7 linked regions of the Rattus norvegicus genome follow. The protein of the gene in region 1 purifies or fractionates together with the protein of each later gene. This does not show direct contact. Links are inferred from orthologs where the notes say so. Each region holds a gene or a part of one and is shown in the gene's direction. Other genes may lie near its edges. The genes, in order: Smarcb1, Bcl7c, Ss18, Macroh2a1, Top2b, Bcl7b and Bicra.

Evidence for each region.
Region 2: the proteins of Smarcb1 (region 1) and Bcl7c purify together in Homo sapiens (affinity purification with mass spectrometry; 7 studies listed by BioGRID and IntAct, counting the BioPlex papers as one, with this or other methods). This does not show direct contact. The link is inferred for Rattus norvegicus from reciprocal best matches to the Homo sapiens genes SMARCB1 and BCL7C.
Region 3: the proteins of Smarcb1 (region 1) and Ss18 purify together in Homo sapiens (affinity purification with mass spectrometry; 9 studies listed by BioGRID and IntAct, counting the BioPlex papers as one, with this or other methods). This does not show direct contact. The link is inferred for Rattus norvegicus from reciprocal best matches to the Homo sapiens genes SMARCB1 and SS18.
Region 4: the proteins of Smarcb1 (region 1) and Macroh2a1 purify together in Homo sapiens (affinity purification with mass spectrometry; 3 studies listed by BioGRID and IntAct, with this or other methods). This does not show direct contact. The link is inferred for Rattus norvegicus from reciprocal best matches to the Homo sapiens genes SMARCB1 and MACROH2A1.
Region 5: the proteins of Smarcb1 (region 1) and Top2b fractionate together in Homo sapiens (co-fractionation; 3 studies listed by BioGRID, with this or other methods). This does not show direct contact. The link is inferred for Rattus norvegicus from reciprocal best matches to the Homo sapiens genes SMARCB1 and TOP2B.
Region 6: the proteins of Smarcb1 (region 1) and Bcl7b purify together in Homo sapiens (affinity purification with mass spectrometry; 6 studies listed by BioGRID and IntAct, with this or other methods). This does not show direct contact. The link is inferred for Rattus norvegicus from reciprocal best matches to the Homo sapiens genes SMARCB1 and BCL7B.
Region 7: the proteins of Smarcb1 (region 1) and Bicra purify together in Homo sapiens (affinity purification with mass spectrometry; 3 studies listed by BioGRID, with this or other methods). This does not show direct contact. The link is inferred for Rattus norvegicus from reciprocal best matches to the Homo sapiens genes SMARCB1 and BICRA.

Annotation. Positions count from the first base shown.
Region 1 is NC_086038.1:12,739,604-12,743,747, forward strand, and holds the start of Smarcb1 (SWI/SNF-related matrix-associated actin-dependent regulator of chromatin subfamily B member 1), read left to right. Parts: upstream 1-1,344; 5' UTR 1,345-1,540; coding exon 1,541-1,633; intron 1,634-4,144.
Region 2 is NC_086019.1:191,751,719-191,756,149, reverse strand, and holds the start of Bcl7c (B-cell CLL/lymphoma 7 protein family member C), read left to right. Parts: upstream 1-1,508; 5' UTR 1,509-1,768; coding exon 1,769-1,860; intron 1,861-2,337; coding exon 2,338-2,416; intron 2,417-2,765; coding exon 2,766-2,874; intron 2,875-2,966; coding exon of another isoform or gene 2,967-2,969; coding exon 2,970-3,131; intron 3,132-4,431. UniProt on the Homo sapiens protein: May play an anti-apoptotic role.
Region 3 is NC_086036.1:6,061,385-6,065,016, reverse strand, and holds part of Ss18 (protein SSXT), read left to right. Parts: intron 1-3,080; coding exon 3,081-3,248; intron 3,249-3,632. UniProt on the Homo sapiens protein: Appears to function synergistically with RBM14 as a transcriptional coactivator. Isoform 1 and isoform 2 function in nuclear receptor coactivation. Isoform 1 and isoform 2 function in general transcriptional coactivation.
Region 4 is NC_086035.1:8,543,460-8,547,810, forward strand, and holds the end of Macroh2a1 (core histone macro-H2A.1), read left to right. Parts: intron 1-3,103; coding exon 3,104-3,269; 3' UTR 3,270-3,809; downstream 3,810-4,351. UniProt on the Homo sapiens protein: Variant histone H2A which replaces conventional H2A in a subset of nucleosomes where it represses transcription. Nucleosomes wrap and compact DNA into chromatin, limiting DNA accessibility to the cellular machineries which require DNA as a template.
Region 5 is NC_086033.1:11,539,619-11,543,960, reverse strand, and holds the start of Top2b (DNA topoisomerase 2-beta), read left to right. Parts: upstream 1-1,496; 5' UTR 1,497-1,997; coding exon 1,998-2,045; intron 2,046-4,342. UniProt on the Homo sapiens protein: Key decatenating enzyme that alters DNA topology by binding to two double-stranded DNA molecules, generating a double-stranded break in one of the strands, passing the intact strand through the broken strand, and religating the broken strand.
Region 6 is NC_086030.1:27,143,772-27,147,954, reverse strand, and holds the start of Bcl7b (B-cell CLL/lymphoma 7 protein family member B), read left to right. Parts: upstream 1-1,323; 5' UTR 1,324-1,430; coding exon 1,431-1,522; intron 1,523-3,515; coding exon 3,516-3,591; intron 3,592-4,183. UniProt on the Homo sapiens protein: Positive regulator of apoptosis. Plays a role in the Wnt signaling pathway, negatively regulating the expression of Wnt signaling components CTNNB1 and HMGA1.
Region 7 is NC_086019.1:85,811,713-85,816,101, reverse strand, and holds the start of Bicra (BRD4-interacting chromatin-remodeling complex-associated protein), read left to right. Parts: upstream 1-1,519; coding exon 1,520-1,560; intron 1,561-1,667; coding exon 1,668-1,710; intron 1,711-4,389. UniProt on the Homo sapiens protein: Component of SWI/SNF chromatin remodeling subcomplex GBAF that carries out key enzymatic activities, changing chromatin structure by altering DNA-histone contacts within a nucleosome in an ATP-dependent manner.

The DNA of each region.
Region 1 (4,144 bases):
GAGTTCTGGGATTAAAAGTGTGAACCACCATGCCTGGCCCTTAACACTCTGGTTCCCGTGGCTGTGAGGACAGTTGGGCAAACTCCTGGTTACCACGGCCCTTCCTAGTTAACATCTCCTTCCTAAGGACCCTAGTCACAACTATGGTCTCATTAGGCTGACCCTTATGAAACTGGCCAGTTTGATTTCCACTTTCTTAAAGGTATTTATATTTTGTACATCCTCCCCCTCCCATACCCCACTTCCCCTATCCCCCCTCCCTCTCCTGTTAGTCCCTTTGCTCCCATACACAATGTCACTTTTCTTTCATGTTCTGTGTAGTACATATTTTATGAATCTATGTGAAATCTAGAAAGCACAAAGGAGAGAAAACCTATTTGTCTTTCTCAGACTGGCTTGATTTAATACGATTATCTCCAGTTGCATCCATTTTCCTGAAAACGATTTCGTTTTGGGGGCTGAAAAAATAATTCCGTCGTGTACACACATTTCACTCTTTTTGCTTTATTTTATTTTATTTTTTTCTGAGACAGTTTCTCTACCTACCCCTGGCTGTCCTGAAACTCACTGTGTAGACTTGCCTATAACTCACAGAAATCCTCCTGTCTCTGCCTCCCGAGTGCTGGGGCTAGCCACGACACCCTGCCTAGATTACATTTTCTTCAACCATTCTTCTACCTAGGCTGGGCTATAACTTAAGCTATTGTAATAGCGCTACAATAAACATTACTTAAACATTTTGGAGTCAAGGCTCTGTTCAACAGAGGGTGGACTGCTTGGACACTTTCCAGAAGCTCTGTCTTGCCTCGGGGCTGTTAAGGCCCAAGGCCGGCAGAGGCACAGAACAGGACTGGGCTTGTGGGCACCAAGCTTGCAGAGGTAAGGAAGGAAGGCAAGTGTCTCTTCCCGGTCACCTGGCACATTATATAGATCTTTGAATAGTACCAACCTCCATCCAGTACTGTTATTCTTCCCATCCCTACTGCCTCGGGAATAGCTGTGGGCCTGCAGCGGATAGCTAGCTATTCCTAGCGCACCTTCGGGTGGAGAACCTGGCCGGCCTGGGGTCGCCATGCCCACCCCGCTCCAGATGGAGCGGTTCTTCTCCCCGCTTAACATCTCATTTATTCCCTTCATCCCAGGGCGGAGTGCCATCTCAGGCTGTGCCACTAGAAAAGCCACCGCCTGAGTCAGGACCTCAGTGGCTATTTCTGTCGCTGAGAAGTTTCCCTCCATACCCGCCTGGAAGCAAAAGAAGCTCGGGTCCCTTTAAGGGCCTGCGGGAACGCGCTCGCGCAGGCGGCGGCGCGCACGTTAGCGTCAGCACCCCCACGCGCATGCGCACGGAGGGAGGCCTGCTCTTCGCAGAGACGGCTTAAGAACCTAGTAGTGACGCGAGCGCCTTCCCGGTTTGCCCGGCTCGCCCTGTCCGTCCTTCACCTCCCGGCCTCCGTTCCTTTCGGTCCGACGCGCCTCGGCCCCGCCCCAGCCCACCGGATTCTTTCCAGCTCGACCCCGGCTGCCAGTTTCCCCCGCCGCCATGATGATGATGGCGTTGAGCAAGACCTTCGGGCAGAAGCCCGTCAAGTTTCAGCTGGAGGACGACGGGGAGTTCTACATGATCGGCTCCGAGGTAGCCCGCGGCGCGTTCTCGGCTTCCCGAGCAGCGGCTGGCCGGCTCGAATCCCGGGGCGGGCCAGTGCTCCCCGAGTGCGCGCCTCCATTCATCGCGGAGGCGGGCTCGTGCTCGCAGCTGGGGCGTGGCCTGGTGGGCGTGGCCTCTAGGTTTCCTTACCCACTTAACATCCGACCCTAAGCATCTGCCCTAGCTTAGAGCTTAGAGCATCGAGCCGGTTCACTCTAGGCAAATGGAAAAAGGATGTTTGGGAAGCCCCTGGGTGCTTGGAGGTGCAGTACTGCCCTTGAGCCCTTCGGCAGCTCTCGTGCACCCCACTGCCATGGTCTTGAAACCTCTAGTTGTAAGCCTGAGGCTTAGGAAAACCTCCTCCCCTTTGTGTCCTTGTTTCTGTGGTGGAGTGCAGTAGCATAAGTTTTATGATGTGTAGAAAGTGATTGGAGGAGGATGTTTGCTTTTGAGTGGTTGAGGCCCCAAGGCCAGAAGCACTAACATTTTGGAGATCTGTGAACTGATTTTGAGTCTTTATAGGGGATAAATCTAAGGATCGCTAACCCATAACTCATAACTAGAAGAGACAGCCCCTGTTCAGTTAAGTGGACATAGTTCCTTAGGTTCGCTCTTGTGTGTTGCTACCCCTTTCATAGGGCTCCCACATCAGATATCCCGCATATAAGATAGTGACATTATGATTTGTAACTCTAGCAGAATTATAGTTATGAAGTAGCAACGGGAGAATTTTATGGTGAGGGGTCATCACAACATGAGAAACTGTATTAAAGGGTCACAGCATTAGGAAGGCTGAGAACCACTGTCTTAGAAAAACCCTACAATTAGACCTACAGACCAGCCAAATGTATGAAGTTTCTTTTCTTTCTTTTTTAAAACAGATTGTCTCAAACTAGCTTTCTTCCATCTAAGGGCAACCGCCAACCAGTTTATGTCTCCACTCCCCCCTTCTCTTTGAGACAAGATCTCATTGTGTGACCCTGGCTGGTTTGCAACTCCCCTTTGAGACCTGGCTAACCTTGAACTCACAGAAATCCACCTGCCTCTGCCTCTCAAATGCTGGGATCAAAGCACTTGGTGCCACCACATCCCGTTTATGTTTCCTTTTCTTTCTTTCTTTTTCTTTATTGTTTTTTTTTGTTTTTGTTTTTGTTTTGTTTTTGTATTTTAAGCTGTGGGTGGCCAAGCACTAGGCTGCACCTTTAACCTGAACACTCCAGAGGTAGAATAGAGGGTGAGTTTGAGTCCAGCCTGGTCTACGTAGTCTCAAAAGAAAAAAAAAAAACCATAAAATTCCAATATGTGAAATTTTTTTTCTTTTCTTTTTTTCGGAGCTGGGGGCCTTGCGCTTGCTAGACAAGCGCTCTACCACTGAGCTAAATCCCCAACCCCTCAATATGTGAATATTAACCAGTAGACATATAGCATGTGTAAGGAGGTAGGGCCCACCCTAGAGAGCTAACTAATGCCATTTCAAACTGCCAGCAGTTACCTCCTGGCAGCTGTTGAGTGTCTTATACTCCATTAGGGTGTTGGTTGAATCAGGTAGTGGGACCAGTATTGTCAGAAACATCTAGACTTAGCATTTCTGCTTTCACTTTTTTCCATTAAACAAAAAGTGCAGGCTGCCATGACTGTTCCCACCATCACCTCTGCTACTGTTCCAAGGTGGCAGTGCTGGGGACGTGCAGTCAGGGCCCGGCCATCTCCTGTGGCTCGGAAGGGTGCTGGTTGGCCAGTAGGCATTTGTGCAAATGCAAGGTCAGTACATAAGGAACAATCTATGCAGGAGAATTTGTTGAAAGACGCTTCCCTGAACTGACCAGTGAAAGAGTAAATCTGGCCTGAGCTCTAAGAGGCTGGGGGTAGTTTTGAAAAGAAAATACGTATCTGGTGGAGCAATTGAGAGACAGCTCCTGGTCATGTGGGAAGAACCTCGGGACAGCTTGCTGTGCCTCCTTACCCTCTCGCCACTCTCTTCTCCTGCCTTCCTCAGTTCTCATGCTGGGGAGCCCTGAGCCTTTGCGCACTGAACACGTGTTCTTGCACTGAGTACTCTTGACCGGTTTTATTTTTCTCATGCATCCGAGATGTTTAAACTGGAAATACATGTCTCTTGAGGTAATTGTCATCGAATGTTTTCGGTTTTAGAAGTCCAACCACAGCCTCCTTTTGGGCTCTTGACTCTTTGCCTTCCCAGTTGAATGAGAATAGTTATCCCCAAGACCAAAATGGGTGGTTTCTCACTCCTTGGAGCCTGGCTTTGATTTTGGGAAGAGCACAGGGTCATATAGTATTTTCTGTCTGCAGTATTGTCTGGATGATGGATTCAGTTTTAGACAGATGGGACAGATGCAGCACACTAGCAGTGTCTCTGACCTCTGTGGAGCTGCTTTGGGAGGACGTCTGCAGCGGATATGACTATGTCCCTGTCATCCTGTCATTTGCCACAGGAGTCACAGGACTTTGAAGAAATGAATGCCCAAGTCCAGAATCTTT
Region 2 (4,431 bases), on another chromosome or scaffold:
TTAGGTCATCAGGCTTTGTGGCAAGTCCCTTGTTCACCGAGATATCTTGACAGCATTCATTTTCTTTAAGTAAACCTTTAGCTGAACTATAATACACACAAGAAAAATTACAAGTAATAAATGTCCATCTTGACAGACTAAAGACAAGTGTGACAAGCTCCCGGAAAACACCATGAATGTACTTGTGTTCTGAACTTAGATGTAGAATTATCTAATGCATGTTGTCACATCTGGCTTCTTTTGTTGCAGACCCATCCCCACCATTGCACATAGCAGGACTTTGGTTTTTCTGGTTGTTTTGTCTGTGCTCATGGTATAAACAGGTTGTAACTGGTTTTCCATTCCATTCTGTTGAGTGGCTCCCAGGTTGGTGCTATTATGAAGAGTACCGAACTTCCCAGTATACATATCTTGGTGTTCATACAGACACATTTCGTCCTAGTGAGGTTTCTATTGCTGTGATAAACACCGCATCTATTTCAGCTTGCAGTTATAGTCTGTTATGAAGTCAGGGCAGGAACTTAAAGCAGGAACTGAAGGAGGCCAGAACTGAAGCAAAACCTTGGACGAACTTTGCTTACTCACTTGCTCCCCAAGGCTTGTTCAGTCTGCTTTCTTAAAGTGCCCGGAGGTGGCACTGCCTACAGTGGTCTGGCTCTCCCACAACAACTATTATCAAGAAAATGCCCGGGGTTGGGGATTTAGCTCAGTGGTAGAGCGCTTGCCTAGCGAGCGCAAGGCCCTGGGTTCAGTCCCCAGCTCCGAAAAAAAGAAAAAAAAGAAAAAAAAAAAAAAAAAAAAGAAAATGCCCCATAGACTTACCTGCAGGGCAACATGATGGAGGCGTTTTCTCCATCAAGGTTCCCTCATTCCAGATAACCCTAGCTTGTGACGAGTTGACAAAAAAGAGGCAGCACATATTCCTTCTGTTGAGTGTTGCTAGTTTGGGAGTGGAAACTGTTGGAAGACGGGGTTGGCATAAGTTTTTCAATGGAAGACTGCCAGTTTTCCAAACTATCTCTACCAATTACACACCCTGATTCAAGGAATGGCAAGTTGCTCCTCTGCTACTTCATCTACATGGTCTTTTTCACTCCCGCCATTCTGATTGAGGAGGCCGGCTCTCCACTCGCAGAGTCTGGCTTGTACTAGGCGCTGTTAATGGAACTGTTCAATGAATGAATGAATGAATGAATGAATGTATGAATGAATGAATGAATGAATGAATGAATGAATGAATGAATGAACAAGTTAAGTTGGGCAGCTTAGAATCAAACAGCCTGGAGAGGGCAGACGCGCGCACACAGAGCATTTCAGGGACGCCCACCCGCCGCGGACGCACACCAGGACAGTCCCTCTCGCGCACCCCTGTGCCCACGTGGCCGGAACGCACCGCCTCGTTCGGGCCGCGCGCGTCCAGCCGCACCGCTGCCCCCCAGCTCTCCCTCTCCGCGGCGGGCAGAGGGCGCTGTGCGTCCGTGCGCCCCGAGGGGCGGGCCCGGGCCGGGGCGGAGCTGGCCGGGCTTCCAGGCCGGGGCTCTAGCCGCCCGCGCCGCCCGGGCCGCTCCGGGGACGGGCCGGGGCGGGGCGCGGTCTCAGGAAGCCAGGCGGGGACGCGCGGAGGCGTTGGGGAGCGAGGGAGGGCGCGGCCAACTCCCGGAGGGACGGCAGGCCGAAAGAGCGGCGCCGGGGCCTGGCGCGCAGCCTGAGATCGCCGGACCGCAGGCCGCCCCACCACGGGCTCTGTCCCGGCCCTAGCCCCGCCAGCATGGCCGGCCGGACCGTGCGGGCCGAGACCCGGAGCCGGGCCAAAGATGACATCAAAAAGGTGATGGCGACCATCGAGAAGGTCCGGAGATGGTGAGCGCTGCCCCCGGGTCAGGGATACAGCCAAGCCACCTCCTCCAAACGCGTCCGCCCTTTCCTGGCCCGCTGCCCCCGCCCACCAGCTGTGATCTAAATCGACAGGGCGCCCCCTTTCCTTGGCAATTCCCAGAGGTCTACAAAGCGTGGTCCGGAGTGGTGCTTTCCCTGAGCGGGAGCCCTCATCTATGCCCCGCCCCCTGAAGCTTTTGACACTCTCGCAAGCTTGGCCCGGGGTCTTCATTGCCTGAGTGCCTGGGCAGGCCTTGGTGGCGCCCTGCTGAGTGCCCCAGGTGTCTGCAAAACCGCAGCTCCAAGTTATATCCGTTTATGCTTTGCCCTGGGGTTTAGAGGGCTCTTTCTGCTTCTATGCCGTGTAAACGAAGCTGTCCGTACCCTAGCACACCTCCCTGACCTCCAGTCTGTGGGGCTCACCCTTGGGCCTCCCTGACCCAGTCTCCTGACCTCCCACAGGGAGAAGCGCTGGGTGACTGTGGGTGACACTTCCCTTCGAATCTTCAAGTGGGTGCCTGTGGTGGATCCCCAGGAGGAGGTGAGCAAGCCCAACCCCCAACATGCCTTGCATCTGTGCAACCTCAAGCAATTTCCCTCCCCTTGGCCTCCACCTTCAGTCGGCTTGGAGACTCCACTGTGGAGCCCAGGCAGATGGTAACGATTATTAGGGGGCATGAGCACGGAAGCGCGCGCGCGCGCGCGCGCGCACACACAAACACACACACACACACACACACACTTTCTCCAAGTTCAAGACCTAACTCGGCCTACACAACCTGAGGCAGCACCTTTTGCTTCTCTGAGCCTAGGTTTCCTTATTTGAATTGAAGGACTTTGTAAGAGCTCCCTGGACAAACTAGCTCTGATCTTACTTCTCTAACCCTCAGGAGAGGCGGCGGGCAGGAGGAGGGGCAGAGAGATCTCGTGGCCGGGAGAGGCGTGGTAGGGGCACCAGTCCCAGAGGGGGTGGCCCCCTCATCCTGCTGGATCTCAATGGTATGTAGAGATTCTGGAATAGGGGTGGGGGGGCTGGGTGCTGAAAGAAGCCACTGGGGTCCTCTGGCCAACTAACTTGACTTTTGCTTCAGCAGATGAGAACAGCAATCAGAGTTTCCATTCCGAAGGTTCACTGCAAAAGGGCACGGAGCCCAGCCCTGGGGGGACGCCCCAGCCCAGTCGCCCTGGATCACCAACTGGACCTCCAGAGGTGATTACAGAAGATACTCAGCCCCCACAACTGGGCCAAGAGAGAGGTAGGACCATGTGGCTCTTGGGAGTCCTCTCCTCACCAGAGTTGAACCTACCGCCTTGTATGTGTTTCTATATTGTGTTGTGTCCCCCCCCCCCTCCCCCGTCCTGCCTCCCTCAGGGAACCTTTCCTGACCCTGGCAGAAATTACCTCTGGCTGTGCCTGGCTCATTCCTTGGCATCTTGGATTTGTAGGGAGCGTGTCGCCATCTGAAAACTTTATGTAAATGTACTTTTTGCTTGCTTATTGCCTCTCTGTTACCATCTCATGTCAGACACACTGATCTGGTTCATGTGGGACGCATAATAGATGTTCGGCAACTAAATAATTCTGATAACCCTAGGGATTAGTAACCGTAGATTAACAGCTGACAGAACCACTTATCTGTTAGTCATTCTTCTGAGCACTTCAATGTTTTGTGGTTTGTTTTCTCATTTAACCCTCACTGACATTTTATGGAACCAATGATCCTATGATGATTCCTATTTATACACGAGGAGCCCAACATCCAGAGAAAGATGCCCAGACTTGCAGAGCCAGTGCGCCAGCTCCTCGGCCTTCCTGTAGTCCACCCCCCCTTCCCAGGCATGGCTGACTCCCGTGCCTTTGGCGCTCCCTTCTCACTTCTCACTTGCACTGGCTCTCGCCTCCACATGCTACAGCTTTCTTAGAGCAGATTCCAATCGGCCATTTTCCTGCTTTGTGTCCTTCGTTGGCTCCCGTGGCCTTTGATTCCTTCGTTTGAACCAGAGGCCTTTATAAACTGTTGCTACTGAAATTGTTCCCCTGTCAAGAACACCATGACATGGGGCTTGGGACCACACCTAGGTTGTCCCAAATACTTTCGCTAATATGAAATGATGGGGCAGGGCATGCAGCCCAGTGCAGGTGCTTGTCTGTCATGCCTAAGGTCCTAAGCCCCATCTCTAGTACCACAGAAATGAATGAATGAATGAAACTGCTAGCTGGCACTTCTTGAGCACATACTATGTGCCGTGTACTTGATCCACACAGCAGCCTCTCATGGTGTTACTGTCACTATTTCCATTCTGCGGATGACTGAGAGTCTGTGGTCACTAAGCACATATTTCTATCTGCCTAAATTCTACTCTACCTCCGTTTGCCTCCTGGCTCATTCCCTACTGACAAGATCCAACTTGAGTCTTCCTTCCTCAGCAACTTGGTACCCCTCTGCCCCCACAATGTCATCATGTGTGACCAGTGCCTGTCTGTTTCCTTTGCCCCTGGTCCACTCTCTCAGCACAGAGTAGCTGCTCAGGAAGTGTCTCTTTGTTTGGTGTTAC
Region 3 (3,632 bases), on another chromosome or scaffold:
TGTGTATGCATTATCTACTTTGTCGTATATCTAATATCGACATTTATAGAAACAAGGGACATCTGTGAAGTGACAGATGCTTGCTGCCGTTATTTGCATTCACCTTGCCAGTCTACGTTATTCTGGGGTATTCTGCCATCCGTAGAATTGGCGGCCTTTCACTGAACTGCTCTGTTCCCGTTAGTGTGTTAAGGAAAACCATATGCATCCTAGATAATCAGAGTTGACGTTTAAACTTCGTGGATAAGCCTTCAAGGGCGTGTGCAGAGTGCCGGGTGTGTGCTGCCTTCCTCTCCTGTTTTCTCTGGATTTACGTTGATCCTGAGTGCTGTGAGGCCTTGGGGGCAGTGACAGAATTCAGGAAGGTAGTGACTGAGCTGCAGGCAGATAGAGATAGGGCTCAGATGGCACGGTTGTGTGGGCTGTGCCCTGTGCTGGAATTTCCTCTCTCCTGGAAGGACTTTGAAGTGAGATAGAATTTTGTTGTGATAGATATTTGAGAGCCCCTCCCCTAGCGATGCCTTTCATTTTGGCTCCAATATTCAGATACAGCCTAACTTCTAAGTCAGGAGTCCTTTGGGCAGTTTTTGAAAATAAAAATAAGGCAAACCTTTCATTTCTTGAAAATGAAATTTAAAAGGCCCAGTCAGGTTGACAATAAATTATGAGTAACAGCATTAAAATGTTTTTATCACATAGAGTTCATGACTAGAGTGATAAACTCAGTGGTTAAGATCACCCGTTCTTCTGGAGGACCCGAGTTCGGCTCCCAGTACCCACATGGCAATTCATGACTGTCTGTAACTAGGGGATCCTGTGGGCTCCTCCGACTCTACATGTGCACGGCTCACACCCATACTGCAGCCACTACACCCAATGCTTCTGAGATGTGCAGGTGAAAAGGACAGGCACAGAGGTGCACTTTGAACTCGGCTTGACATTTGTAATCTTGCCAGGTACTGTTAGCAAGCTTGCTCTGTGGATTCCCTGGTTGCCAGGGTGCCCTGGGAAGTGCAGGTGACAGCTTGCATTGCAGGTACCTACAGTGCGCCCAGGGTCTGCCTCCTTGCCAGTCTTACTGAGCCGTCTTCCTCCTGCTGTGAAGAATTCATTTCCATGCTGAAGGGCTCCAGGGCTTTGGAGAGCTTCTACATACAGTGATAAAAACTGGAGAGACCCGAGAAGAGTTAGACAAAAGCAGAACACACAGAGGTGCTCAGGGAGACAGCAGCTCTGAAGAAGCTTTTCTTCCCACGGAACAGATGGTCACGTTGCTGAGGAGGTAAAGCTCTGTGCTCACATTGTCCCTGGAAACTTAAGGAAGTGGCTGCTTGGTTTTTAGATGTTTGTTTAAATTAATAGTGAGCCTCTGACTCACTGTGTCATCGTGGCCTGCACAGCTTTCCCTTTTGTACTTTAACTCACCCCCAAGTTTGGCGCTATGTAAGCAGGACTGCAAGACGACACACAGACACTCGAGTCAGCGGGCTGAGAGTGTGGGACTCTGCTCTTTAAGGACCCGGCAGCCCTCGGGGAGCATCTGACACTGCTAGGCGGCCACACAGAATTCGAGGGCCACTGCGGGTCACGTGACAGATCTTCACTGTATGTGCTGCAGCAGTGGTGCTGAACTCTCACCCTGTAGAGTGTACTGAGCCCATGCCTTACTACAGACCTTTTCCTAACTCTCACCCTGTAGAGTGTACCTGTCTCTGAGCCCATGCTTTACTACAGACCTTTTCCTGGTAGTTTTTAGGGTGGGGAGACTGGGAGTAGGAAGTTAGAGGGTGGGCAAGGTGAGAGGATTTTAGTTATTTATTAAGGAGCACCGTGATCCTGGAGGCTGGAAAGATGGTTGAGCTGTTCTTGGAAAGGACCTTGGTTCACTTCTCAGCACCCACATGACAGCTGTCATGTCTGTAACTCCAGCTCTAGGGGATCCAGTGCCCTCTCCTGCCTCTGGGCATACGTACAAATCGTTCACAGATACATACATGCAGGCAAAACACCTGTACACATATGATTAAAACTAAAAAAAAAAAACAAAAAAAAAACAAAAAAATTTCTTTTTTAAGAAAAAGCACTGTAGGGCTGGAGAGATGGCTCAGGGGTTAAGAGCACTGACTCTTCTTCCAGAGGTCCTGAGTTCAAATCCCAGCAACCACATGGTGGCTCACAACCATCTGTAATGAGATCTGATGCCCTCTTCTGATGTGTCTGAAGACAACAACACTGTACTCATACATAAAGTAAATCCTTAAAAAAAGAATGTAAAATAAAAAGATATTTCAAAGAAAAAGAAAAAGCACTATATATTTCTAGTTTGTAAAGCTTATAAAAGGTTTGGGAAATGGAAAGTTTTTTTAATTTTGCATAAAATTGAAGTTTATAAAATTTAACTGATATGTTTATGAAGTGCTTCTGTAGGTTTCTGCTTACCACTATTGCATAAATGTGTACTAAAAGGAATGAGAGTGTAGGGCCGGAGAGATGGTTCAGTGGGTAGAAGTGTTGCTGCTCTTCCAGAGGACATGAGGTCAGTCCCAAGCCTTCACACCACCTGTGACTTCTGCATTCCAGATGCCCTCCCTCCCTGGTCTAGCCTGGGCTCCTGCATGTATGCAGCGTGCATAAGTCATGCAAACTCACACACATACAGAGAATAAGTCTTTATCATCCTCTCTACATACAGAAGGAAACAAACCCAGAAGTGGGTTTCTTCTGTCGGTCTTATTTTCATCGCTTTCCTCATGCTGTGGTAAGATGCTTTTGCCTTGAGAGCCGGTGAGATGATGCGGATAGAAGATGTATATGCCAGAAAGAGCTTGTTTCCATGTTGATTTTTTAAAAATGACTGGAGTGCTCTGGTGGACCTGAGGGTTCCACTGGGGTTTGGTTGTTTTCCTTATTTGCAGATAAATGTGGGCCTGTGAGCTTTGTGCAGACTCATTTATACTTGCAGTCAGTGTCCCTTGTTCGAGTACACACTTTGTGTATTCTGTGGTAAGAGTCTTGTACCTGTCATCGCATGTTGAGCAGCAGTGCCAGAACACCGCGTGATGATGTTTTTCTGTCTTCAGGTCCCATGATGCACCAGCAGCCTCCTTCTCAGCAGTACAGCATGCCACCTGGAGGTGCGCAGCATTACCAAGGACAGCAGGCGCCCATGGGGCTGATGGGTCAAGTTAACCAAGGCAGTCACATGATGGGCCAGAGACAGATGCCTCCCTATAGACCTCCACAACAGGGTGAGAAGCCATCTGGAAAATTCCTTGCTTACTGTAAATGACAGTCATTGAAAGGCTTTAAGTTTTAATGTACTGTTCATCCTGGCTTTTGTTGCACTCCCCTGCCACCCACCAAGGTAGCAGGGTTTAGGGAACCCTGAGGAAGTCCTGAGGCATAGAGGAGCTTCCCAGCACATGGCTTCCTTTTGTCTGGTGTTCTCTAGGGAAATACCACATCAGAAACTTTTCTATCAAATTTACTCATTTACATCAGAAAATGCCCTCTCTCCCTTTTTTAGAAGTTACTAAGTATATGACAAAGAACAAAGCCAATTTTATATCAAAATGCCTTAATACTAATGTAACAAGTAAAAAGAAATCAGTTTCCACCTGCTTCAGCCTCTG
Region 4 (4,351 bases), on another chromosome or scaffold:
TCTAAACTCCAGAGCAGAAGCCCCAAGCCCTGAGTCTTTGATGCCCACCCTAGTTAGAGAAGACAGCAGAGACCTGGCAAGACAGGAGGGGCATTCAGATGGGAACCAAAGTAGTGCCCGTGCTTCGAAGCCTGTGTTTGTGCCAGCGTCCAGGTCTGCAGCCCTCCAGCACAGTTGGGCACCATACACTGGTCTGCAGGCTCTGGCAAGCTGAGGCGGGCGTTGCTTAAAGTGCTCACAGTAACTAAATGCCAACGGTCACTCAGTCGTAGCTCTCTGAGGCTCTGGGGGATAGTCTCCCACCTTCGGATGATCCTGGAGTCCAGTTGTCTCTAGCAGGCCTGGACCCCACACTCTACCTAATTAATACATATCATCTTGTCCCACCACTCTGACCTGACCGGGCTAGGGCAGGGCACAACCCAGAAGCGGAGGGCATCAGGTCATCTATGATGGGGCAGCCAAGGCACTGTGTAGCTACAGAGGCTCTCACCTTAGGGGAGCCATGAATCTACTTCATCACCTGTGTGTCTAGCTAGGGCAGCTAGGGGGCGCCTGGGACCCTGCCCAGCAGCACAGGGAGATGCCCGTCTTGCTTCTGCTTCTCCCCATGGTCTGCTACTTTAGAGCGGGGCTCCCTAGGACCAATCCAGGCTCCCATTGGCCCAGCAGCAGGCCAGATTAGAGTATGGTATGTGAGGTGGGCGGTACCCTACCAGAATAAACCTCTCAGCCTCCCTTTCCCCAGCTTCTGCATTCTGAGAGTCCAGACTGTGGAGTCCTGACCCGCTGCCTGCATGTAGGCCACGGCTCCCAGTCAGAGTGGCCGAAGGCCTGAGGGGCAAAAGCTCCAGGTGCAGAGCCCAGCCGGGTGTGCAAGGCAAACTCTCTGTGATGTCAGCACCAGCCACAGGTTCAGAGTTAGAACCCAGGACCAGGGAGGAGCCTTCCCTCAGCCACAGCTGAACCGGCTAGGCGTAACCTGCTCCTGTGATGCTCTTAGGAGACTGACCTTGCAGTCGGGAGAGAGGCCAGGGCAACACCATGTATCTTCATCACATCACACACTTGGCCGGTGCCCGGCAGAGTCCAAGCGCACCAGCTGGCTGAGCGCACAGGAGCAGCACGCAGCTGTGACCGTTCGTCTGGGGGGCCTCCCCGGCTCTGCTCATCTGAAGGGGCGTGAAGTGAGGCAGGCAGGCAGGCAGGCAGGCAGGCCGGCCTTCAGTAGCATGGCACTGGTGGAATATGGGTCAAACCTACCCATGCAGAGAACAGCTCCCTGCACACTCTCCTCAGAGCCTGCCAGCCCAGGTTGTGCCCACGGACTGAGGTCTGCCTGCCCCGGCCACCCTCTCTGCTCCCTGGGCCTGGATGCAGGCTCCAGCAGGATACACACAGAGGGTGGAACGCGCTCTCTCTACAACAGATCAGCAGTTCCCACCTGGCCCGTTCCTGTGCTCCCCTCTCTGCCTGAGAGGATTGCGGCCACTGTGCCAGCTGCCTGGTGCCTCCCTGCAGCCCTGACTTCTGTCACACTGACCCCCAGCTTAGCTAGACCATCAGGCTTGTTCCGGGAAGAAACCAGACTGTCTGGAACTCCGAGCCGAGCTCCATGGGGAGAGGCCCTGAGCATGTATCACACCCCACAATGGCCCAGGTCTCCCAGGCGAAAGCAGGTCGCAAGAGCTTTTCCTGTGGCCTTGTGAAGAGCCCTGAGCACTAACAGCTGGGGAGAGTGCGGCTCCCGGGGGCGGGGTGGGGAGTCAGGGTCACAGGCACAGTGTAGAAGGCTGCGTGTGCTGTGATCACATCATCAACTCAGAGAGGACCAGCCAGAGTGGCAGGCAGGTGGGCTAGGGACTGTAGACTGCAGTGAGCAAGGCGTAGCCCTGAAGGCTGCTCCAAGCAGAGTTTCCTTCCACTGGGCCAGACCACTCTGTAAGAGCACATGCTGTATTGGCCAGGGACTGGCTCAGGCTTCCAGGTCCTGAGTTCACACTCGGAGCCCCCTGTGACATCAGTGGCAGGATGCTGACTTGGAGACTTCCGTGATGACCTGAAGTCAAGGTTATCGACACTTGCCCCAGAATTCTGCTCTGCACCACGGTGGCTGCCCTGCCTGCCCTCTGCTCTAACACTAGCTGGTGCAGTTTGGAGATGGTCCCTGGACCAACAGCCCTTACTGCCACTTGTATAGAGCACTTGTATAGAGTGCTCTATACAACTCGAGGGCAGAGCTACTCAGACCCCATGGCCATGGTGGACTGACACTGATAGGCGCCTCAGCAGTGGAGCTTTCATGGACTGCCGGTTCCGGGGACCATGGGGAAAAGCAGCAGGAGCTTGCGCACCTTGACCGCTCCACGCTCGGCATTCAGTGTCCTTGGTTCTTGCTGCCACTGTCTAGAATGCTCTCTGGGTCCCACCTCTTCTTCCTGCTCACAGATGCCTGGTTATATTGCCTGTCCCTCGTCTTGTGAGCGCTGGATGGCTCTGTCTGTTCTACCACAGCAGTGCTTATGGTTTTGAACGAGTTGAGCTTGTTTAACACGCAGCAAGTGGACGTGAAGACAGTAAGCAGCAGAGAGACTGCAAACTTCACACCAGGTCATGTTACACTTAAAACATCCCAGCAGAAACCAATTCTAGACGCCTAATGGAGAGAGCAAGCCGCTCATAGATATCAAACCAGTTAGCAGTGACCTGCTGGGGGAGCCCCACCAAAGCCATGTCTGCCTAGAGCTCCCAGAGCTCCGAGCAGTGTCCAGGGATGAGCTTGGCTTCCTGTCCCCACAACAGACATTTTTATACCATGGACTAACGGTAACCTTGCTGGCCATCCACTCTCCTTTCCCCTTGCATCAAAGGCAGTCTGCCTCAAGACACGGGGGCTAGGAGGACACCTGGGGTAACTGCTGTGAGACGAGGGAGGTCATGTTGTAGAGCTCACACCCAAGTGCCAACGGTGTGTGACAGCTCTCTAATACAGCTTACCCTGTGAGGGCTTTCTTCACACCTGTGGGAGCATCTCCTGCCCAGGGTGAGGACCCTGCTCGCTGTAGACACCTTGAGTGCTGACCCCCTGTGTTCTCTCCTACAGGAACGGGTTCCCGAAGCAGACAGCCGCCCAACTCATTCTGAAGGCCATCTCCAGCTACTTTGTGTCCACTATGTCGTCCTCCATCAAAACTGTGTACTTTGTGCTTTTTGACAGTGAGAGCATAGGCATCTACGTGCAGGAAATGGCCAAACTGGATGCCAACTAGGCCAGCGTTCCCTAGAGCCAGCACATGTCGTGGCCCCCACCTCCAACTGGAAAGAAAGAAAAAAAAAGAAAAAAATCCCCTCGGCTCTTATGGGGAGGTGGGGGCTCCTTTCCTTTTCAGTTCTGCTCATCTAGGGGAAATAAGGTTTTGGTTTCCGGTTTGATTGTTTTTGGCCTTCTACAATGTTTTCTGTTAGCACTGATAGCTGGCATTGTCCTTGCTAAGCACTGCGTTCCAGACCGTGTCTGACTTAGTTAACCTAGGAGATTTTATAGTTTTACTTTAATGAAGTCCTGATTAACACAGAGCAGTGGAGAGACCGTGCCCCTGTGTCAGCAGCAGCAGCAGCAGCAGCAGGAAGCCCCGTTTGTAACGCGTGTTGTGGTGCTTTACTGTACACCCAGTGGCGTTCTTTTTACTATTACGGTTTTTCCCCCTCAGAAGAGAAAAAAAAATCATAAAATTTGCAACAGACCTAACTTTTGTTTACTTTTTTGTCTTAATGATAGATTTGAAAATGAAAAATGTTAAAAAAAAAAAGACAACTGGATCTGTGGTCCTTATTATATTTGCAGTTTTTTTTTTTTTTTTTTTTTTTTGGTTCTTTTTTTCGGAGCTGGGGACCGAACCCAGGGCCTTGCGCTTCCTAGGTAAGCGCTCTACCACTGAGCTAAATCCCCAGCCCCATATTTGCAGTTTGAGATTTGTGCGAATCAACTTAGGAAAGCGTTGAACTGTCGAGGCTGGCCACGTGTTGCGTTACTGCGCCTGCGGGCCCCAGGCCTGTGTCCCTAGGACACAGGTCCAGGCAGCGCACACCCAGGAAGCTCCCGGATAGTCCCACGAGAGTCTGTGGACGGTCCCTGGACCTCGGCGGGTAGGTCAGACATCTGCTGGCCCTAGGATATGTAGCGAATTCACGTAGGAAGCTTGGAGTCTCGAGTGTGGTTGGGGTGTCAGTCCCACCTCACAGAGAAGTTAGAGAGCGCACCCACAGCCGCACTGGAGATGAAGCAGCCAATGCTAGAGCAGAGCCTTGCACTCTGGGTTCCATCTCTCTCTGACTTGTGGCTGGGCCCTGC
Region 5 (4,342 bases), on another chromosome or scaffold:
TACTCATCCTTTAAAATCATCTGTTTTCAAACATGAACTATTTGAGTACTTAGGGATGTAAAGTCACAGTACATAAAAAGTCCCCAGGTAAGAAGGCCCAAAGTTGAACTTGGGAAAGCTGGTAACAAGGCCATGGTGCTCTGTAGTCAGAGTCCAGCCCAGTTTTAGGTCCTGATTAGTGATTTACAAGCTAGAACACCAAATTCAAAATAAAGAAAGGCTTTGGTGTTTAGTCAGAATACCCAAATAAAACTGAAAATTCATGGTCTCCAGAGGGCTAATTAAGAACTACGTTTAAATTATTTTCATGTTTCAGAGCTGCCCACCTTGGTTTCAGAATGCTGCAGTTGAAAGGTATGACCCCAGGCATTTTTGTTTTCCCTTAAGGGAAGTCCTTAGCCGCCAGAGAGACTCACAGAAACACTTTCACAGAAAGCTGTTAGCTCCAACGGGATAAAGTTCTTCAGCGTCCTCTGTTAGTCACTCTTGGAAGATTGACATCTGAGGCTGTTGTCCCTTTAAACCCATTGCCACGCCTGGCAGAGAATGGCGGGGAGTATACCCAAAAAGGACTTGTTGAATGTAATTCCATTTACAGGCTGGGTGAAGTCAAGAGCTCTTCCGTCTGCCAAAGGCTTTGGTGTGGCACATTTTATTCTTAGAAAGCTTCCTCACGAGAAAAGTCTATCCTTAATGTGTACCTGAAAACCACTCTTGAAGTTCAAAAAACGATATATGTGCCCTCTTAGACGTGGTGGTGCTGGTGCAGTCCTTGACAGGTGAGAACCGACAGGGACCCTTCTGCACTGTTGGGAGGAAAGCTCAGTAGCCCGGGAAGGGAGCCCTGACCTGCTCGCGTTCCTTCCCAGGAACGTTCCCTGGGCAATGTTTAAGTTCCCTAAGTGGTGACACTGAAGACTGCCTGCAGCGTTTGGGGGGCGGGCAGATGAAGGACAAGGAGTCTGGCGGACGCTCTGCGCAGCAGCAACCTGGGACCTGAGGTGGGGTAGGGGATCCGGCTGCTCCTAACGGCAAACGGTCCCATCTGCAGTTCACTCCCCGGCCCAGTCTCTGGGGACGCCTAAGGCTTCCTGCCTCCCTGCCCCCACCCTCCCCCTCCTCTCCAGCCTCCCCGACTTCCCGGCAGGTCTGCAAGACCACTGCCCGGAGGTTTCCACAGCCCTCGTCCCAGGACTCCCGGCTCCTTTGGATGCCCGGGAATGACCCATGACAGCCGCCCGCTCTCCCTTTGGACGGAAACCCCATTCACTCTGCCTCTCTCTTACACACACACACACTCTCACACACAAACAAAAAACCCAAGTCTGCCTCTCGGTTGCTACCCGCAATGACGTTTTCCCCTCGGATCCCGCCCCTCTGGGGGCCTGAAATTTTGGGATTGGTCGAAGGACTGTAGCGACAAGACCGTGATTGGACGGTCCATGGCTGACTGACAGCCGGTGGCCGCCGCACCCTCCCCCTCTCCGAGCGCGCCTGTGTGTGCGGTGTTATGCCGGACTAAAGGGAGGCCACCACAGCGGCTGTTTATTGTCCCTCTCGGCCAGTGCTCCTAAGGACCCGGTCAGACACCGCTTGAGCGGCTTTAAGGCAGTGGCGGCCTTTGAGGCGGCGGCGACCGCGTCGAGGACTCTGCGGATTCGGTTGCGTGAGGAGAAGCAGTGACTCCTTCGTGTCAGGGCTCTGACTCGCGTCTCCTAGCCGGCCCGCGCCGGCCCGCGCCGACCCTCGCCCCTCATTCGCGATCCCGATCGCCTGCGTGAGCCCCGGAAGACCGCGTCTCACTGCTAGCCCTTCCTCGCCCTCGGCCGCGCTCTAGGCCCGGGCGCCGCGCTCGAGTTTGAGGGCGGCGGGCGGCGCGGCCTCCTCAGCGGCTCGGGCCCGCGATGGGGCGCGGCTAGGAGTGCGGCGCGCAGCGGTCAGTGCGAGCCGCGTCCCCGGTGCGCGAGCAGCCCCTGGCCTGCACGGGAGGCGCTGCCATGGCCAAGTCCAGCCTCGCGGGCGTTGACGGGGCGCTGACCTGGGTGGTGAGTGCTGCGCGGGCGGACGCATTGTTCGTGGGCCGCGGGCTGTGCGGGCGGGGGCTGAGAGCGCGGCGCGGCGGGCGCCCTGTCGGGCTGCAGGCAGGGCCTATCCCTGAGTGCCTTTTTCTCTCTGCTTTCCGCCTCTACGAGGTTCAGGCTGCGGAAGAATGCTCACCTGAAACTTCAGGGTGTACACCAGGACGTAGGGGACCGCGATAACGCGAGCCTCCACGAGCGCAGCGCCAGAAAATATTGCAGAACTTATGCCAAATGCAACCGCTTCCGGCGGCCTGTCCCAAAGGAACGTGAACTTGAATGGCCACTGCGGTTTGCGCCTCCCCTTTAAAGGCTCATTCCGCAGAGAGGGTATTTGGGATGACTTTGACAGCAGGTTAGAGACCGCAGCTGGTCCATCTGCCCGCGGGATTAAAGGGAAGAGCTTACTTACGTCAGCCTCCCGGGTACATCGCGTGGGGACTCAGGGGTTTCCCCAGGAGGTGAGGGAGGGGGTGCTTAAGCCGGAACTTGGAGGATCGCAGAGCCTAGTTCCCAGTGGGAAGTGGAAGTAGCGAGGCAGCAGGAGCAATTGGAGCAGGGTTCCCACGACAGATCGATAACTCCAGCACTTCACTTACTCCGCACTGAGTTCAGACCAGGGTCATTTCCCATGCAAAACATCAGACTTAGCAGATGAGACCAGCAGCTAGGACAGAAAATTTACACATTTCAGGGACTTTAACACACCCCTTCCAGAGGATCCCAAATCCCTCGCCTCTGAACACGCTAAGGAAGTTGGTATTGCTTGGCATTTTTGTTCCTTGGTTTCTTTGTTCGGTTGAGGTTTAGATGAGTCTGGATTAACAGTCATTTCTTATAAAAAGGATGTTTTTATAAACAGCAGGAAAACTGTTTAACCATTTGCAGGGCCGTGGCAAGATACTTTGCAGTGTAACTTGCCAGGTTCTTATCTTCGAATCTCCAGAAATAAGTAGTTCTTTCTAGGCAGTGCAGTAGGAGAGCGTGGAGAAGAAAAGTTAGATAGTAAGTTAGTGCGCGTGTGTCCTTGGAAAGAATGATTGAAATGGCTGACCCTTACCTGGTACTAAAACTAAACGTCTGAAGATGGACTGCGATCATATGCCAGTGTCACTGGTGATTGTGGAAGCACTGACATCCGAGCTGCTGCCTTCTGGTGTGTAGGGTACATGCAGACAAAGCACTCATACACATAAATAAGTCTTAAAAAGAAAGCAGTTGCTATCGTGGAACCAAGTCACAGACAAGCTGCTCAGATGTCAGTGCCACCATATTTGTGCTGGGAGTTGAACTCAGGACCTTTAGAAGAGCAGTGAATGCTCTTAACCACTGAGCTATCTCTCTAGTTCCCCTCTCAGCCCTTTTGTTTTTACATTATTATTTTATGCGTATGGGTGTTTTGCCTGCTCGTATGTCTGTGCACCACTTGAGCGCCTGGTGCCTAGACCAGGCCAGAAGAGGGCATCTATACCTTGGAACTGCAGCCACCCAGATCCTCTGGAAGTGAAGCTAGTGCAGCTGGGCCACCTCTCAAATTCTGTCACCATGGCAAACATTTTGTGAGACAGTTGGATTGTTTTTTTTTTTTTTTTTTTTTTTCTTTTTTTCGGAGCGGGGGACCGAACCCAGGGCCTTGCGCTTGCTAGGCAAGCGCTCTACCACTGAGCTAAATCCCCAACCCGGATTGTTTGTTTTTAAGTCATGGTAGCAATGCTTTAATTTAATGGGCACCTTTCCTTTTAAGGTCAATGGAAAACTTTAATTTACATACAAAATGGGGCAAAACTTGTAGAGTTTCATTCCAAATTAGAAAAAAAAATCTATGTGAAACTACAATAGGCACATTAATTTTGCTATGAACTAGATTATGGGAATTACAGTAAAATAAAATATATCTTGTTTGAATTAGGTTATTGAGAAGAAATCCTCTTTCAGGTTTGCTGCTTGCTTTCTGTTCCTAATGCCAGCATCTTCCTGTCTGTAATAAACCTTACAGGTTGCTTGTGCATGTGTTTTTGAGAGAGGAGAGAGTGTATATGTACATTCATCTACCTGGGCTTTGAACTCATGATCCTCCTTCCTTAGCTTTGTGAATGCTGAGATTGGGAGCCAGCACACGGGGCCTGGTTGGTCTTCTTTACTGGAAGATGATAGCATGAGTTGATGTGGGCTTTGGCATAGGTTCATATACCCCCTGCAGTACATAATGCAGGCGAGACTTCTTTCAGGGGGCTTAAATTTTTCTGTCCTATTTTGTTAAGCAG
Region 6 (4,183 bases), on another chromosome or scaffold:
TCTGTAATGGGATCTGATGCCCTCTTCTGGTGTGTCTGAGAACAGCTACAGTTTACTCATATAAATAAAATAAATAAATCTTTAAAAAAATTCAATGTTCATTTAAATGAATACCACCATGGGAGCATGTAATGTCAGCTTTGAGTCACAAGTGCCCAGGACACTTGATGCCTACTATTTGTTTTGTCTGTTAGCACTGCTTTCACTCACCCGATTCTTTTCTTTTTGTTCTCTCCCCTCCCATCCCAACCCCCAGCCCTGGCTGTCCTGGAACTCACTCTGTAGACCAGGCTGGCCTTGAACTCAGAGATCCACCTGCTTCTGCCTCCAGCATGCTGGGATTGAATGTGTTCATCATAATCCCTGATTCAGAAATTCTTTCAAAGGAGAAACACTTCTATATCCACAGTACTTGGTCTAATACACAGAACATAAGCCGTGTGTTATCCAGAACTGAATTCCATGGCAGTTGAGTGCTAAGTATGAGCCAGGTACAAAATACTCAGGACAAGCTGCAGTTTGAGCCGGATGTTGAAAAAGTAGTTTATTCAATCAGAAGAAATTTCCAGGTGGGTAGTGAAGAATTGGAAGACGAGAAGTCAAAAAGAAAAAGGTGTGATATTGACTCTGGAACACAGCTATTTAAGCAGTGATGACACAGGTCTCCAGTTACATGAACATGAAAAGCATAAATAATTCTTGAAGGGCCAGGAGTCATAGGGGTTTAAAGGACTTGATGCCAGCCTAAAACTCACTAGGGAGAACCAACTCCCACAAATTATCCTCTGTACCATATATACTTAAAAATTTTCTTCCCAATGGTGCAGTGGCTCACACCTTTGATCGCAGCACTCCAAAGGCTGAGGCAGGCAGATTTCTGAGTTCAAGGTCAGCCTGGTCTACAAAGAGAGTTGCAGTACAGCCAGGGATACACAGAGCCTGTCTCGGAAAACAAAAATGAAACAAAAGTTTCTAGTCAAATGCAGTGGCACACAACACCTGAGAAGCAGAGTCAGGTGGCTCTGAAGTTCGAGGTTGGTCTGGTCTATAGTACAGCAAATTCCAGGAAGCAGTAGATTGGGAAAGTGGTGACTTCGAAATCTCATCCCACCAACATCATTGCGGCCTCGCCTGGCACACACCACGTGCGGGCGACACTAGGTTCGGCCTCCCAGTGAGGTGTCTAAGGGTCTCTTGAGGTGCACAGTAGGGACGCCCCCGGGCGGGTGCGCAAGCGCGCTGAGGCCTCAAGGGCCCAAGGGGCGGGAGGGTGCGCGCGCTCCCCCGCGCACGCGCGCACGGGGGGGGGTGCGAGCGACGGCCGCGGTGACGTGCTGCGGTGGCAGCGGGTGGACGACGACGCGTGAGGCGCGTGATATCCCGCGTCTTGGGAGCAGTGTCCCGGCCCCCAGCCACTCCCCGCCGCCGCCATGTCCGGCCGTTCGGTCCGGGCCGAGACCCGTAGCCGGGCCAAAGATGACATCAAGAAGGTGATGGCGGCCATCGAGAAAGTGCGGAAATGGTGAGGGGCGGGAGTGGGGGGGGTTGCTGACGTGGGTTTGCGGGAAACCCGGCGCGGAGGATCGCCAGACACGTACAGACAGGGTGGGAACCAAGAGGCCGGCCTCTGGGGGGAGGGGGCCGGAGGAAAAAAGCGAAAGGAGGGCGCGCCGGCGTCGGCATGAAGTCAGAGTCCGCGTTCACAGTAGCCAATCAGAAGGACAGTCGGCTCTTAGCCCCTCCCACTAGCTGTCATTAGTCGCTTCCGGCCCGCTCTGCCTGGGGCGGGACCTGGCGCTGCAGTGTTGCACTTCCGCCGGGGACCTCGCGGAAGTGCGGCTTGGCGGCTCCCAGCTGGGTTTCCGCTCCTGCGCATCGCAACTGTCCAGTGATGTCCGTTGTTGCCAAGTCTTATGCGCTATAAGTGGTCGAAATTAAGCGGAAGTTTACAAACGCGGCACTTTTGGAACACAAATCCCTTATATCTGTAGATCTGGGGCCCTTAGCCAGCGCACCCGTTTGCTCTAGGCGCCCAGGGGACTCCGTCTCTGCAAATACTTACTGCAAACCCGGATTTAACGGACAAATGGTCAGGATTTCATTGCATTAAACTGTTCTGAACCAAGTCTTTGAGCCATTCCCCCTCACTTAATGACGAGTAATTTCGTTACTGTTTCGTTCATTTTGTTTTTTTTTGGTTCTTTTTTTCGGAGCTGGGGAACGAACCCAGGACCTTGCGCTTCCTAGGCAAGCGCTCTACCACTGAGCTAAATCCCCAACCCCTGTTTCGTTTATTTAACCGGATCTCCCCGAGTACTACAGTCTGGCTTTACACTTGCAGTGATCCTTCTGCCTCAGTTTCCCCAGCGGCTAAGAGGCCGCTAGAGTGATTTTTTTGTTTGTTTTGTTTGTTTGTTTTGAATCAGTGTCTTAAAAACCTTTGGCTGTTTTGGAACTCACTTTGTAGACTAGGCTGGCCTTGAACTAAAGATCCGCCTTTCTCTGCTTCCCAGGTGCTGGGTTATGGCATGCCTCTGCTTCCTATGTAATTCTCAAGTGTCTCCATCCCCTTTTATTTTTTACTGATAAGGAAAAGTTTGGAGGCTGGAAAATGGTTTAGTGGTTAAAAGCCCTGGGCTGTTCTTGCAGAGGACCTGCATTCAATTCCTGCCACCACATGGCAGCTAACAAACACCTGTACTTCAGTCCCACACACACACAGGAGAAATGCTGAATGAGTTGAGGGTACACTTGGTTCGGTTGGGTTTAGAGACCTGGGAGGCCTTCATAGTTTGCCTTAGGGTGATCTTCAGTAAAAGCCACTCAACGTTTTCTTACTTTGCTAGTACGTTGGTAAATCTGACATTTCTACCTCAGGAGGAACAAGGAAGAATGTTGAGGGAGGGGTCAGTTTTGTTTGTATGCTGGGGATGGAGCCCATAGCCTTGGGCAGGCTAGACTAGTGCCTCCCACTGTTGTTCCTGGCCAGAGAAAAAAGGCAGCTAGCTACAAAGCTGTAGTGTTTCTCTGTGAGTAATCTCAGTGACCCAGCATGCAATTGCTGCCTGTTCCTTTCTGGTGATTGTTCTTCCTTTGGAGGAACCTTAAATGGAAAATGAACAAAACTAGTTTAGAGAGACTTGGAAATTATCTCCACCATCCTCCCTGACTTCTGTCTGCGGGGGATCAAAGTCAGGACCAGTGCATGCTAATAAGCCTGTTAAGACTGAGCCACAATCAGTGTCTTTCGTGCCTTCCTCCAACCCCAATTTGTGGCAGTCCTCCTGCCTCAGCCTCCAAGTGCTAAAATTACAAGAATGCAAGTGAAAGCCTCCCCACTCCCCAACCCCTGGCTTTCATCCCTACTCTGGTTACATCCTCTTATACAAACCCACCTTCAGGTGTAATTTGATGGCATTCGAGATCAAAGGAACAATCTCTTGAGACACAAAAGCAGAGTTAGTAAACAAACAAGAAATGTGATTTATTAATCCTAATTAATGCTCATCTTCTAGGGAGAAGAAATGGGTGACTGTGGGTGACACGTCCCTGAGGATATTCAAATGGGTGCCTGTGACAGATAGCAAGGAGGTAAGTAGGGGGTGGGCAACAGTTAAAGAAACCACTGTCTTAGCTTCCATTTCTCGCCTCTTTCAGTTATAAAGGAAGTTCTTTTCTGAAAAGACCTCAGGCTCCCTCGGCCCGGACTATGCAAAGTGCTCCTTTGTCGTTTGCTCCTGTATCCTCTCTTTACTTAGACAGTAGCTTCAGCCCCGTTCCTGTTGATGGGTCATTTCTCTAATGGTGAAGTGAGCTGATGCAAGCCAGATTAGATTATATATAGGCAGGTTTATTAGGAAGCTGCTCTCCGGGGAGTTCGTTGACCCCAAGGACAGAGGCCAGAGAAGTCACAATGGGGAGAGAAAAGGGTGGAGAGAGAGACACACACACAGACACACCGACACACAGACAGACAGACAGATAGACAAAGTCTGGATTATATAGAAAAGACTCTCTTGGGGAAGGGCAGCCCACTGGGCTGGAAAGTTTAGGGTATGCCAGGTAGGAACTAAGGAATCCTGGGAGAGCCAGATGTAAAATATGCTCCTCGGTCCCCTGTCTGGGTGTCAGAAAGCAAACACCTGTATTTTTTCTGCATAGGCTTTTTCTTTTCATTATGGCT
Region 7 (4,389 bases), on another chromosome or scaffold:
GGGGAGAGAGGAGGACAGAGGCTTAGAATGTCAGGTGGGCACTGAGGAGATAGCTCAGTTGGTAAAGTGATTGTGAGTGAGAATATGAATTGGATTCCCAGAACCCATATAAAGAGCAGGGCATGATATCCCAGCACTGGGGAGGTGGAGGCCATGAGATACCTAGGGTTAGCTCGCTGGTTAACCTAGCCTAATTGGTGAGCTCCAGGCCAGTGAGAGACCCTGTCTCAAAAAAGGTGGACAGTGTGGAATGTGAAGGGCCCTTTGGAGGAATGTTTTAGGGCTGAGAGGATGTGGTTAGATGCTCTGAGGGACTGGGTGGCTGATTGGCAGGCAGAAATTCTGTATGGTGGGAGGCAGATGGGAAAATGCAGACAGCATCCGTTCCTTTTGGGGTGCAGGGGTAAAAAGCAGCCTCTTCCCCTTCCCGGGGGCTGACCACGCTAACCTTTGTCATGGGCTCTGATAATGCTAGCCAGTGGAGAGCGCCAGACAGCTCCAGACAAACGTTAGCCGTCCGCATCCTCATCATTCAGCTGTGGAGGCCAACCCCACACTGTCACCTCTCTGGTCCAGCCTTGTGACCCTCCCTGCTCCTGCTGCCTCAGTCCCCTCCGCCATACATCATGCCTGTCACCTTTCTTTGCCTGAGACCCACACTGCGTAGGTCTTCAGGATTCACCCAGGAGTGTGGTGACCCTTTCTCTTACTCTCTCATTCCACCCTCCCTCTCTTGCTCTATCCCACTGATACTCAGGACAGGCCCCCACCACACCCGACGGGCCACAGACTGTAGTCAGAACAGGACAGTGAGCCGTGACATGCTTAGGCTCAGGGGCATGGCTGGCGAACTCAAGCGGAAGCCTGCCTGGTGGGAGTCTGGTGTGAGCTACAGACCCTGAGAGAACAGTTCAGGTTATTTTGTTTTTGAGACGGGGTTTCACCATGCAGGCCTGGCTGATCTTGAACTCACAGACATCCTCCAAGTGCTGGGATCAAAGGTGCAGGCCATCTTAACACCCAGCGAGTTTGGGTTTTGACTCTGAACTAGACTGTATAACGCAAAGTAGAATGGCACCCTGGAGGCCGGAGCGCATGTGTTCCCTAGGACTCGGGCATGTACAGCCCACTCGCTGGAAGTTGGTGCCTCCAACTCCTCACCCTTAAAGTGGGGGTGCCATAGTTTATTCAGTTAGACTTCTCTGCAGCACTTAGTGTAAGAGACCTTTTCATTTCAGTTGATACCCCCTTCATCATCACTGTCAGACGTGGGGGGTGTTGGGCAGGAGGACAGAGGGTAAGAATGCTACCCCGTCCCTGGTCAGGACTTCTGTGTGGGAGGGTACCTGGGAGGTGGTTCTTGTACCCCTCCACCTAGCTCTGTGTACTTCAGAGACAGTTGGTCAGACACCCCCCACACTACCTCCACCACCCCGTGAAGGGGCAGCTGGGCTATAGACTGCCTCAATCTAATTGTGTCTCCCCCACCCTCTTCCCACCCCCACCCCATCTAGTGGAAATGGATGATGAGGATGGGAGATGCTTACTAGACGTGATTTGGTGAGTAACGGGCTCCCCCCACCCACCCACGCCCGTCTCCCACACCCCTCCCTTCCCTCTACTCCTCAGCCTAGCTCCTTAAGGTCTCTTTTCCCTCTCTCTTGCAGTGACCCTCAGGCCCTCAATGACTTCTTGCATGGATCCGAAAAGGTAAGTGCCAAAGGCATGGAGGGGCCTTCTTTGGTCATGGGGCTGGAGGATCCGAAGGGAGGTGCAGGTCCCCTAAGTCTCGTCTCCTTGCTCTGTCATCTTCCTGGTTAACGAACTAAGCCAGCCATTTAAAAGGGGGGATGAGTGGGAGAGGGGGCCGCAGCAAAAAGATCTCAGCACATTTTTAACTTGGAAATGATGCTGTATTGAATATATACATTTTCTTAAAATATCATACTAGATTAAAAACAAATAAATAAAAGGCCAAGTGTAGACTATTAATCCCAGCACCCAAGAGGCAAAGGCAGGCAGATCTCTGTGAGTTATCTACAGAGTGAGCTCCAGGACGGTCAGCGATACATAGGAAGCCCCTGCCTATAAACAAACGAATGAATGAATGTCATTTACTATTCACTAGTTAAGGTTTTCTTTAAAAGTCATACAGAAAATGGCTAGAAAGAAATAATGAGAGGCGCTAGAGAGATCGCTGTATGGAGAGCATGCGTAAGCATGGAGACCTGAGTTCAAATCCCCAGCATGCATGTCAGAAGCTCGGCATGGTCATGTGCACTGTAACCTCGTTTCTCTGGGGAGAGGGTAGAGACAGGAGGATCACTGGAGCTTGCTGACCCCTCTCTTAGCTCCCAGTTGAGTTGACAGGGCTGTGTCTGAGGGTAATGGGGCAGAGTGGTGAAGGTGTGAGGGGTGTTGGGCATGATGAAGGAGGGTCAGAATGCTGCCCCATCCCTGGTCAGGACTTCTGTGTGGGAGGGTACCTGATCCTTATATCCCTCCGTCTCGCTCTGTGCACTCCAGAAACAGTGCTGTGACCCCCTACGTCCATTACCTCCAGGGGCCACGCTGTGAAGGGGCAGCTGGGTCTTAAACTACCTCAATCTAATTTTGTCTCTCTCACCCCCAAGACAAGACACTGTCTTCCTCTGCCTTCCTTCCTTCCTATGTGCACCTGCATACACATGTGTATAGCAGGTGTGTACACAAACACATACAGAGAGAGAGAGAGAGAGAGAGACAGAGACAGAGACAGAGACAGAGAGAGACAGAGAGGAGACAGAGAGAGAGAGAGAGAGAGAGAGAGAGAGAGAGAGAGATAAAGCCTAAAGCTGGAGAGATGGCTGAAGCAGTAAAGAATGTTGGCTGTAGGCCAGGTGGTGGTGGCACGTCTTTAATCCCAACACTCAGGGGTCAGAGCCAGGTGATCTGTGAGTTTGAGGCCAGCCTGGTCTACAGAGTGGGTTTCAGGACAGCCAAAGCTACACAGAGAAACCCAGTCTTAGAGAACAGAGTGCTGGCTGATTCTATAGAGGACCCAGTTCCAGGGGATCCAACCCTCCTCTGGCCTCTGATAGCACCAAATATAAGATATATATTTATGTCTTAAAGAAAATAAAGGAAAGATCTCGTTTAGCTGGTGTGGTCAGAGGAGGTCACTCTGGGGTGGCAGCATTAAAGATGACCACAGTGCTCTATCTAGCAGGGGTAACATTGAGAGAGAGGCTAAATTCAGAACTATTATGAGACAGCACGGAGTGCTTTAGACGTGGTTAGGTGATTTTGTTTTTATTTGTTTGTATATTTCTTTATTGTGAGGCAGGTTCTCTCTTTGTAGTCCTGGCTAACCTAGAACTTACTAGGTAGGTCAGGTTGGCCTTAAACTCACAGAGATCCACCTGCCCGCCCTGCCTTCCCACCATCACACATGACTGATTGATTTATTCTGAACCTGACAGCAGTTCTCGGGGACCCAGATTTGATTTGTGTCCCAGGAAATCTTGGAAAATGTGGCTGTCTGGAGGACCAGTGTGGAACTCTTTGTATTCTACAGTGGTATGAGAGATTACCCCCACATGGTGACTTAGTGCCTAGTTGTTAGACTTTTGCCTTGTTGGGAATCTGGGTCAAGAGTCAGCTGGGTGGTCCTGCCTCAGGGACTTCCCCTGAGGTCACAGCAGTCTGTATATTACAGGAGCTACAAGCATCTAAGGCAATGGTTCTCAACCTGTGGGTTGTGACCCCTTTGGGGGTTAAATGACCTTTAAACAGGAGTCAGTTAAGACCATCAGAAAATACATTGTGGTTCATAACAGTAGAAAAATTACAATTATGAAGTAGCAACAGAATAATTTTATAGTTGCCGGTCATCACAACTTGAACTGTATTAAAGGGTCGAAGCATCAGAAGGGTTGAGAACCACCGTTCTATGTGCTGGTCTAGAGTCAACTATATATTTACTCTAACCTCCCTTCTTGTGGCCACTGCCAGGAGGCCCAGGTACCTTTCCCGTGGGCCCCTCTCTCACTGTTTAAATGTACTCAGGATATGGTAGCTGATTTCCCTTGTCACAAGCACCCTATGATAGAGAGCCAGGAGGAAGCCACAGTACCTTTTATGACCTAGTTTCATGAGTCACACGGATACTTGGGAACTGCTAAGTAAGAGCTCTTCGGTTCCGTCCCCAGCACCACATAAAATGAGGCATGGTGGGGCATGCAGTCCCAGCACTCAGGAGACCAGGAGTTTACCTCCCCCTCTAATGGCTAGCATGTTTGAGGCTAGCTTGGACTACAAGTATCTGCCTTGAAGGAGGAAGGAGCCACTAACTCCGGTGTACACTCTAATGGGATAAGTGAGCCATGCCTCTTCGAGGAGAGGCATCAA